Linked DNA regions of Oryctolagus cuniculus. The protein of the gene in region 1 purifies or fractionates together with the protein of each later gene. This does not show direct contact. Links are inferred from orthologs where the notes say so. Each region holds a gene or a part of one and is shown on either strand. Other genes may lie near its edges.

Region 1 (4,340 bases):
GGTAAAAGTGTCACCTGCAGTGCCAGCATCCCATATGGGTGCCGATTCAAGTTCCAGGTGCTGCACTTCCAATACAGCTCCCTGCTAACACACCTGGGAAAGCAGCAGAAGATGGCCCAAGTCCTTGGGTCCCTGCACCTACATGTGAGACCCAGAAGCATCTCCTGGCTCCTAGCTTTGGCCTGGCCCAGTCCTGGCCGTTGCAGCCATTTTGGGGGTTAACCAGCAGATAGAAGATTTTCTCGCTCGCTCTCTCAGCCTATCCTCTGTAACTCTCACTTCAAATAAATACATTTAAAAAAAAAAAAAAAACTTCTACAGAGAGTGGTTATAAGTGCAATTAAAGTGAAAAATTAAAAAGGTCTAAACTCAGAAACTGAAAAACTAGAGTAGCTTTATTACGGCAAATCTAGAAATAAGAAATGCTGTTGCAGACATGACCTTACACATGCAGCTTTATAGAATGAGGCTGCCGTAGCAGAGGCTCTTTTTAAGTAAGGATGCTTGAAATGGTGTTCTTGGGTTAAACAGTTTTAGCACTGAGATTCAGGAGACGTTCAAAGTATGTGCAACATGGGGCTGGCGCTGTGGCACCGTAGGTTAATCCTCCGCCTGCAGCATCAGCATCCCATAGCAGTGGCGGTTCTAGTCCCGACTGCTCCACTTCCAGTCCAGCTCCCTGCTATGGCCTGGGAAAGCAGTGGAGGATGGCCCAAGTCCTTGGGCCCCTGGACCCATGTGGGAGACCAGGAGGAAACTCCTGGCTTCTGATCAGTGCAGCTCCAACCATTGCGGCCACTGGGGAGTAAACCAGCAGATGGAAGACCTTTCTCTCTATTTCTCCCTCCATCTGTAACTCTACATCTCAAATAAATAAAATCTTTAAAAGAAAAGTATATGCAACAAAAATTGCTAGTTGATCTTTACCTACTTTAGACAGAGTGTGATTAGAAACAAAACCTCATTTAAAAAGAGCAATGCACACCATAAAGCTTATTATCAAAGTGATAAGCAAAACAGTATCCTATCCCTGAGATTTAGGGGTCCCTCTCCTAAAAGAACTCCCAAACAAGGACTTGAGTGATATACAAAGACAGAGAGGCCAAGGCAAACTCCTTCCTTGAATTGAAAGAATCTTACCACTAAATAACTTGATAGGTTACATTAGAGAAAATGACTTGTTAGTTGGATTTGGCTCCGCAAAAGGGTATGAATTAAACACTGAGTGGACTTATTCAGTACCTAGAATTGCAATTCTCCAAAGTCACACTGTTCAATCTTTCCAGCATCAACTGCCAATTTTAAAAAGTGTTTGAAAATGTAATGCTTATGGGTTGAAACCTGGCAATGTGACTAAATTTAAACCTATCTGGATGGTGACAGGGATTAAGATGGCGCAATAGGGAGGGAAATTACTGCTCTAGACTTGAAGATAGTTTTAAAAAAGGGAGAGAGTGAGTCTCAGGGAAGTGTTAGGGGAAAAAAAGGCAGAGGAAACTCCACACAAATTAGAGGGACACTGTGGACCTATGTGGAGAGTGTGGACACGCACACCTCAGCACCAGCCCTGGAGTGGGACAAGGGGCTGCCGCATACAGTGCCGGCTGCTCCACTTCCTATCCAGCTCTCTGCCACGGCCCGGGAAGGCAGTGTAAGATGGCCCAAGTGCTTGGGCCCTGCACCCGCGAGAGAGACCCGGAAAAAGCTCCTGGCTCCTGGCTTCGGACTGGTCCAGCTCTGACCGTTGCAGCCATTTGGGAAATGAACCAATGGAAGGAAGACCTCTCTCTCACTGCCTCTGCCTCTCTGTAACTCTTTCAAATAAATAAATAAATCTTTAAACAATAAATTAAAAAATAATAAATACAGGGGAAAAAAATCCCGCATCTTGGAAACTCTCCTTCACTTTCGGTCAAGCCAATACCTTTTGTACTAAGAAAACTTAATTCAGTGCTGGCATAAAATGGCTGTTGCTACTTAATTAGGTATGTGTTTGCTATATTTACACTTATAAATGCAGATACTTATTAAAGTGGTGAAAAAAATTCATCTGGAAGGGGAAACTGGCAGCTTTTAACTAGCCTTGCAGCCAGCACGATGGAACTCAGGTGTGTCACGGTCCTCCAGTTCTTAGCGACGGAAAAGTAGGTGCGGGCACACTTCAGCCTCAAGGGGCAAAAATATTCAAAACACTACACAACACTTTGTTTATTGCACAGATCAAGCAAACGGGCCCGGACTCTTCCCTCAGTCTGCCATCTCGGTCCAAGCTATAACCTATCACATGATGGAAGAAATTCCTTTTTTTTTTTTTTTAAGGAGACAAACCCCACATCAGTAAACTCAGCCTGGAGGACTTCGGGGAACAAGGCCAAGAACGCTCTCTGGCGCGATCACAGGCTGGAGGGGGTTCGTCCAGTTCTCCTCCTCCCCACCCCCACCACGGATCCCTAAGCCGGCGAGGGAGTCCGGAGAAAAGGGGAAGGAAACCCTGAGGGCTAACGACAAAGGGCACCCGGGGGCGGCAGCCAGCGGGCGGGAGGCTCACCTGACAGGTGCCACGACCCAAACCTTTCCCTACCCCTCCCCACGCCCCGCAGCGGGTGGGGGCGGGGACGGTGGGACGCCGTCCGCGGGGAGCCCCGGGGGAAGCAGCAGCAGCTGCGGCTGGGACAAAGAGGTTCGGAGCAGAAGAGGCAAAGCCAGAGGCAGCGAGGGCCAGGGGGAAGGGGGAAGGCGGCTCGGCGGGGCCGCAGCCCCGGCCGGGGCGAGGGGGTCCGGGCCCACTCACCGTCGGGCGTCGGAGCAGCGCCATGAGGGACGCGGGAGGCAAGAGGCCCAGTCCGGCCCAGGCGGACTGGAGCTGGCAGGCACTGGCGTCCGCGGCGCCGTTGGAGCTGCACTCCGAGCCCGTACCGCGGAGGATCGTCGGCGAGGTCTCCTAGTTCCAGGATTCAAATACCGCGCCGCTCGCGCCCCCATTGGGCGACCTCACGCACGGCGTGCTCGTTTCATTGGCTAAGCTTGGACGCATTCCCGAACGCTGATTGGCTGAATTTTCATATGCTCCCCCCGTTTGGTTGTCATAGAAACCACCAGTCTCCTCCCCCCCCCCCCCCGCTTTTAAATGACACCTCTGTCTTCATTGAAAAACCCAACCTCTGTGAAAAAACAAAAATGAAAGTTTCGTGAAAGTAGACGTAAGACGCCACCGAATTGGACAAGGCCTCGCCTAGGACGTTCTCCAGGTTTGTATTGGGTGCGCTGAAGCTGGGTCTACGCAAGACCCGGGCAAGACCGCTGCTGACTTTCATTGCTCTTCCCCAAAGACCGGGGTGGATCTGCATTGCCGGGGCCTGCAAGTGTGCTATGTTGCTGAGACGCAAACATGTGCTACAGTAGAGGGAATTGTGGAGTTTCCTCAAATACTAAGATTCCTAGGGAAGCACCCCCCCCCCCCCCCCGGAAAAAAAAGGGACGAGTGATTTGTGTCATTCATGAGGAAGAGAGAGAGAGAGAGAAGTCTTCCATCCGCTGGTTCACTCCCCAGATGACCGCAACAGCCGGAGCTGCGCCGCTCCGAAGCCAGGAGCCAGGAGCTTCTTCCAGGCCTTCCCACACGGGTGCAAGGGCACAAGGACTTGGACCATCTTCCACTGCTTTCCCAGGCCACAGCAGAGAGCTGGATGGGAAATGAAGCAACCGGGACTTGAACCGACGCCCATAGGGGATGCTGGCACAGCAGGCGGTGGCTTTACCTGCTACGCCACAGAGCTAGCCCCTAAATAAATATATCTTTAAAAAAAGAGAGAGAGAGAGAGAGGCTGGCACTGTGGAGTAGCTAGTTAAGCCCCAGCCTGCAGCGCCGGCATCCCAGATGAGCACCGATTTGATTTCCAGCTGCTCCACTTCTGATTCAGCTCCCTGTGAATGCACCTGGGAAGCAGCGCAAGATGGCCCAAGTGCCAGAGCCCCTGCACCCACATAGGAGACCTAGAAGAAGCTCCTGGCTCTGGCCTGGCCCAGCCCCAGCCATTGCGGCTGTTTGGGAAATGAATAAGTGGATGGAAGACCTCTCTCTTTCCTGCTCTCTGTAACTCTGCCTTTCAAATAAATAAATAAAATCTTTAAGAAAGAAGAAAATACCATCACTCTAAGACCTAACTCATTAGCATGAGTTCATGAATATATAATTCCATACTTTATAAAACTCAGACCACAGGAAGTATAGTTAGTGATCAATTATAGAGAACATTAATTAACTATAAGTATACAGAAAATGATGACAAGCGTATTTAATAGCTTTAAGATACAGTTTAAGCAAAATGAAGATAGCTGTA
Region 2 (3,892 bases), on another chromosome or scaffold:
TCTACCCAGGGGAGGGACAAGGCTTTATCCCTGGGCCCTGGCAGCCTCTGCCAGGGCGGGAGCAGAGGGACGGCACTGAGTGCCAGGCCTGCTCACACCCTCCTGCCTTGGTTGAGCTCTCCATTCACCACTCCTCCTAGGGCATGGTCGTGGAGTGGTCACTGTGCCCTGCCCTCACCTACCGTAGACTGTCCTCGTCCCAGCTGCTGGAGAGGCTGCCGTCCAGGAGCAGGCTGCAGGGCGGTGAGCCGGGAGGGGTGGCTGGCGGGCCTGGGGGCTGCAGCCAGCTGGCAGGGTGGGCTAGCCCATGCCAGAGCCAGCACAGCAGGGCAAGCAGAGCCTGTGTGGGGAGAGAAGCCTCAGAAGGTGCTGGCCCTGGTCAGGGGGCAGGCACGGCCACCTGGCTATAGAGGGTGCTTACCTGCCACAGGGCCCACCCACGGCTCAGGGCCTCGGCAGCCAGGAACCACAGGACGCTCCAGGGCCGTGGTGGCCTCAGCATGGGCAGGGCCAGCAGGGCCTCAGCAGTGGCCCGCAACTGGGGGTCAGGCTCCAGCATCATGACAAGGACAGAACGGAGCTCGGGGGACAGACCTGCCATGGGGTGGGGCCACATCAGCGTCCCAGAGCACTGATGGCTCTGAGCCCACCATCCTCTCCATGGCAGCCTGCCCCTGCCCGCACTCACCGGCAGTGAACTCAGGGGGCAGGTAGCCCTGGCGCAGCTGCTGCCAGCCCTCCCCACCATGGGGCAGCTCCATGTTGCATGCCACTTCCAGGATGGTGAGACCCAGACTGGGAGGGGCAAGAGGGGACAGAAACAAGCAGGGTTGGCCCCGAGTCACAGACCCAGTCCCAGGCTGCCTCTGCTTGGTGGGAGCGGATAGCTGACTCCCACCATCAGCCAGGGAGGTGGGGAAAGAGCTGGGGAGGGCCCAGCAGCACAGGAACTCCACTGTGGAGTGTGAACCCCATACTCAACACAGCCCACACACTGCTGGGGTAGGTTCACCCTGTGCCCCACCTACTCTGACAGCACCCTGGCTGCCCCATGACTGCTACCATCGCCCCATGGGACCTGCCAACTGCAAGCTTGGGGCATGGCCCTCAGCTCACGGTGCACCCCTCCCTCCAGGCAAATGGCAAAGGTGCCTGGTGTGCAGCAGCAAGGACGAGGCTGATCTGGGCACAGTCGCGCTAGAAGCGGCCTGGTCTGGGAAGCCGCCCCGACTGGGAACTGGGGCAGCACCTCCCAGCGGAGGCTGATCCTGACCTTGCCCAGGAGGCGGCATCCCTCCCAGAGAGGCCTTCTCTCTCCTGATCTCCTCCAGGAAGGCCCCCCCCCACCAGCCCACCACAGCCCAGCCCTCACCTGAAAACATCAGCGGCTGTTCCACAGGAGCCCTGCAGCAGCTCGGGGGCCATGTAGCGGGGGTCTCCCTCCTGGGCCTCGCCAGCCCCGACTGCACCCAGCTCCACCAGCAGCCCAAAGTCACCCAGCTTGCAGCGGCCCCGGGGCCCCAGGAAGATGTTGGCAGGCTTGACATCAAGGTGGACCAGGCCTTGGCCATGCAGGTGCGCCAGGGCGAGCAGGGTGTCCCGCAGGTAGCCCCAGACCTGGGCTTCGGGCAGGCTGGCACCCCAGGCCTCACAGTGCTGCTGCAGACTGGGCCCACACAGCTCCGTCTGCAGGTACAAGATGCCACCCTCCTCCCAGGCCTGCTCCAGCCGCACACAACGTGGGTGCCGCCCCACCTTCTCGTGGCCGCCCACCTCGGCCAGCTTGCGGGCCCGGTCCTTGGGGCCCCGGAACGGCGACATGGAGCGCTTGACTGCATAGAGCCGGCCATCCTCCTTGGAGCGCACCTGGAAGCAAAGTGGTAGCACAGGTGAGGTAGGGGTGGTCCACGAGGGGCGTGGCCACGTGGAGGGACAACAGGCAGGGTCTACTGAGACGCTACCGTGCACAGGGACAGCCAGCTGGCAAGTGTTCTAGAACCCCTGCATGCTACAACAGTGAAGCCGAGACCCAGCATGCAAGCGGCAGGCTGAGCTCTAGGGCGCATTGTTCAGGAGAAAAGCTGGCTACGGGACACAGCGGGCAGTGTGCTCAGTGGGTGAAAAGTGCTTTCCTCCGGGGCGTGGCTGATCCAGGCGCTTGCGCTGTTTGTACTTCTTAACAAAGTCAACTTCACACAGTACTTGGGAAAAGCAAGGGAAAGCTACTCATTTAAAGGAAATATAAATGACTGGAAAATATCTTTTAAGAAACAAAGTTGTGGCCAGGGGTACACAGCACTCAGGGCCAGCTCCGGGGGCCAGGCAGACTTGCCAAGGACCCCAGCACACTGGCTCCAGGGCTAGGGAGATGGCAGCGGCCACAGGGCATGCCAGGCCCTGGACAAGGGGCCAGTGTGCACGAGGCAGCTCTTGGAAGGCCTGCCCCAGGGGATGGGAACACAGCCAACTCAAACCCACAGGAGGGGCTGTCGACCCCGCAGGGGCTGCTGGGGAGGGGCAGGCTGCCCGGGACTCCATGGGGCCAGGGAGCGGAGGGTGGCAAAGGGTCCCCAGGTGGGGCCACCCCTCACTCACCTTGAAGACCTCCCCGTAGGAGCCATGGCCCAGGCGGCCGAGCCTCTGGAAGTTCTGCTGGAAGAAGGATTCTGGCCGGCTCGGGTCGTACCCAGGGCTCTGCAGGGTCTCTGAGGTCTCGCTCCGAAATGACACCCTCCGGGGCTGGGGCTGGTGCCAGCCCGGGGTCCGAGGAGGGAAGATGCGACTGATGGGGATGCTGCCCTTGGCAGGGGGTCGGGGCGGGAGGCTCCGGCTGAGCCCCCCGGGCCTCTTGAGGGAGAAGCCAGGTTCTGCGTGGCGGAAGTAGGCCGGGACTGGGACAGGGGTGCCGCTCAGGGGCGGCGGGGTGCCTTCTGTGGGCACAGGCATGGCCAGCGCAGGAAGCCTGCAGGGGCAGAGACAGAGGCTGAGTGTGGAGCAGTGGGTCCACTCAAACTGCACCTGGCCTGTGGCCCCAGAGAGAGCTGCTCCTATAGCTGCCCCCACTCCCCGCATGTTCTGCTTTCAACACCAAGGCTGAGAGGGCCCTGCACAGTGGCCAGTAAGGGCATGGGACAGGCATTCCCATCTCTACCTCAGAGCCATGGACCTGAGGGTCTCGCAGTTCAGGAGGGAGCCCAGAACCAGGCAGGCTCAAGTCAGATGCCCGCACAGACGGGCCCCAGCTTGGCACAGCCAGCTGCTGCCTGCCAGCTGCACAGCCTGTCCGGGACCCAGAGATGGAAATGGTAACACGGCCCTCTGGCACAACAGCCTGGAGTCCCAAATATTCCTCCTTTCTTCTTCAGTGTGGTGCCAAGGCCCAGCCAGTGAGGGCTTTGTCATAATGGTGTGCAAGCCCCGGGGGCCTCTCCGCACAAGAGGCACAAGCGGTAGAGACGACCCAAAAGCAGGCATCGCAGTCTCTGGACATGGCACTGAGGGCACACAGTGGGTGAGCAAACACGTATGCAAGAAAATCAACCAAATCTTGCTAAGAACAGAGACTGTGTGGCACCTGATCCCTCCCCAGCCCTCAGCTCTATCGACAGGTGTGGCCAGTGGGGCTCCCCCAGCTCCCAGTCAAAGGACAGGGCATCTGCCCAGGAGGGCAGGCTCTGGGCACTTCTCAGCCTTCCAGCTCCACATGGCAGGAAGGCCAGGCCCCGCTCATACAGCCCACATGCAGGGCTCCGCCTGTGGAGCTCATCTGCTGGGAACACGGAGCCCAACCACCCAAGTCCCTGCCCGTGCACAGCAGGGAGGTTCCGTGCTGGGAGAAGCGAGCAGAGAAGGCCAGAGGCCACTTTGTCACCCAGCAGCTGCCCCCGAGGCA

The links. Proteins that work in one complex are often made in the same cells at the same time.
Region 2: the proteins of CCNB2 (region 1) and PKMYT1 purify together in Homo sapiens (affinity purification with mass spectrometry; 4 studies listed by BioGRID and IntAct, with this or other methods). This does not show direct contact. The link is inferred for Oryctolagus cuniculus from reciprocal best matches to the Homo sapiens genes CCNB2 and PKMYT1.

The regions. Positions count from the first base shown.
Region 1 is NC_091443.1:81,968,941-81,973,280, reverse strand, and holds the start of CCNB2 (G2/mitotic-specific cyclin-B2), read right to left. Parts: upstream 2,988-4,340; 5' UTR 2,816-2,987; coding exon 2,792-2,815; intron 1-2,791. UniProt on the Homo sapiens protein: Essential for the control of the cell cycle at the G2/M (mitosis) transition.
Region 2 is NC_091450.1:32,464,558-32,468,449, reverse strand, and holds part of PKMYT1 (membrane-associated tyrosine- and threonine-specific cdc2-inhibitory kinase), read right to left. Parts: intron 2,963-3,892; coding exon 2,596-2,962; intron 1,867-2,595; coding exon 1,373-1,866; intron 796-1,372; coding exon 689-795; intron 595-688; coding exon 422-594; intron 341-421; coding exon 183-340; intron 1-182. UniProt on the Homo sapiens protein: Acts as a negative regulator of entry into mitosis (G2 to M transition) by phosphorylation of the CDK1 kinase specifically when CDK1 is complexed to cyclins. Mediates phosphorylation of CDK1 predominantly on 'Thr-14'. Also involved in Golgi fragmentation.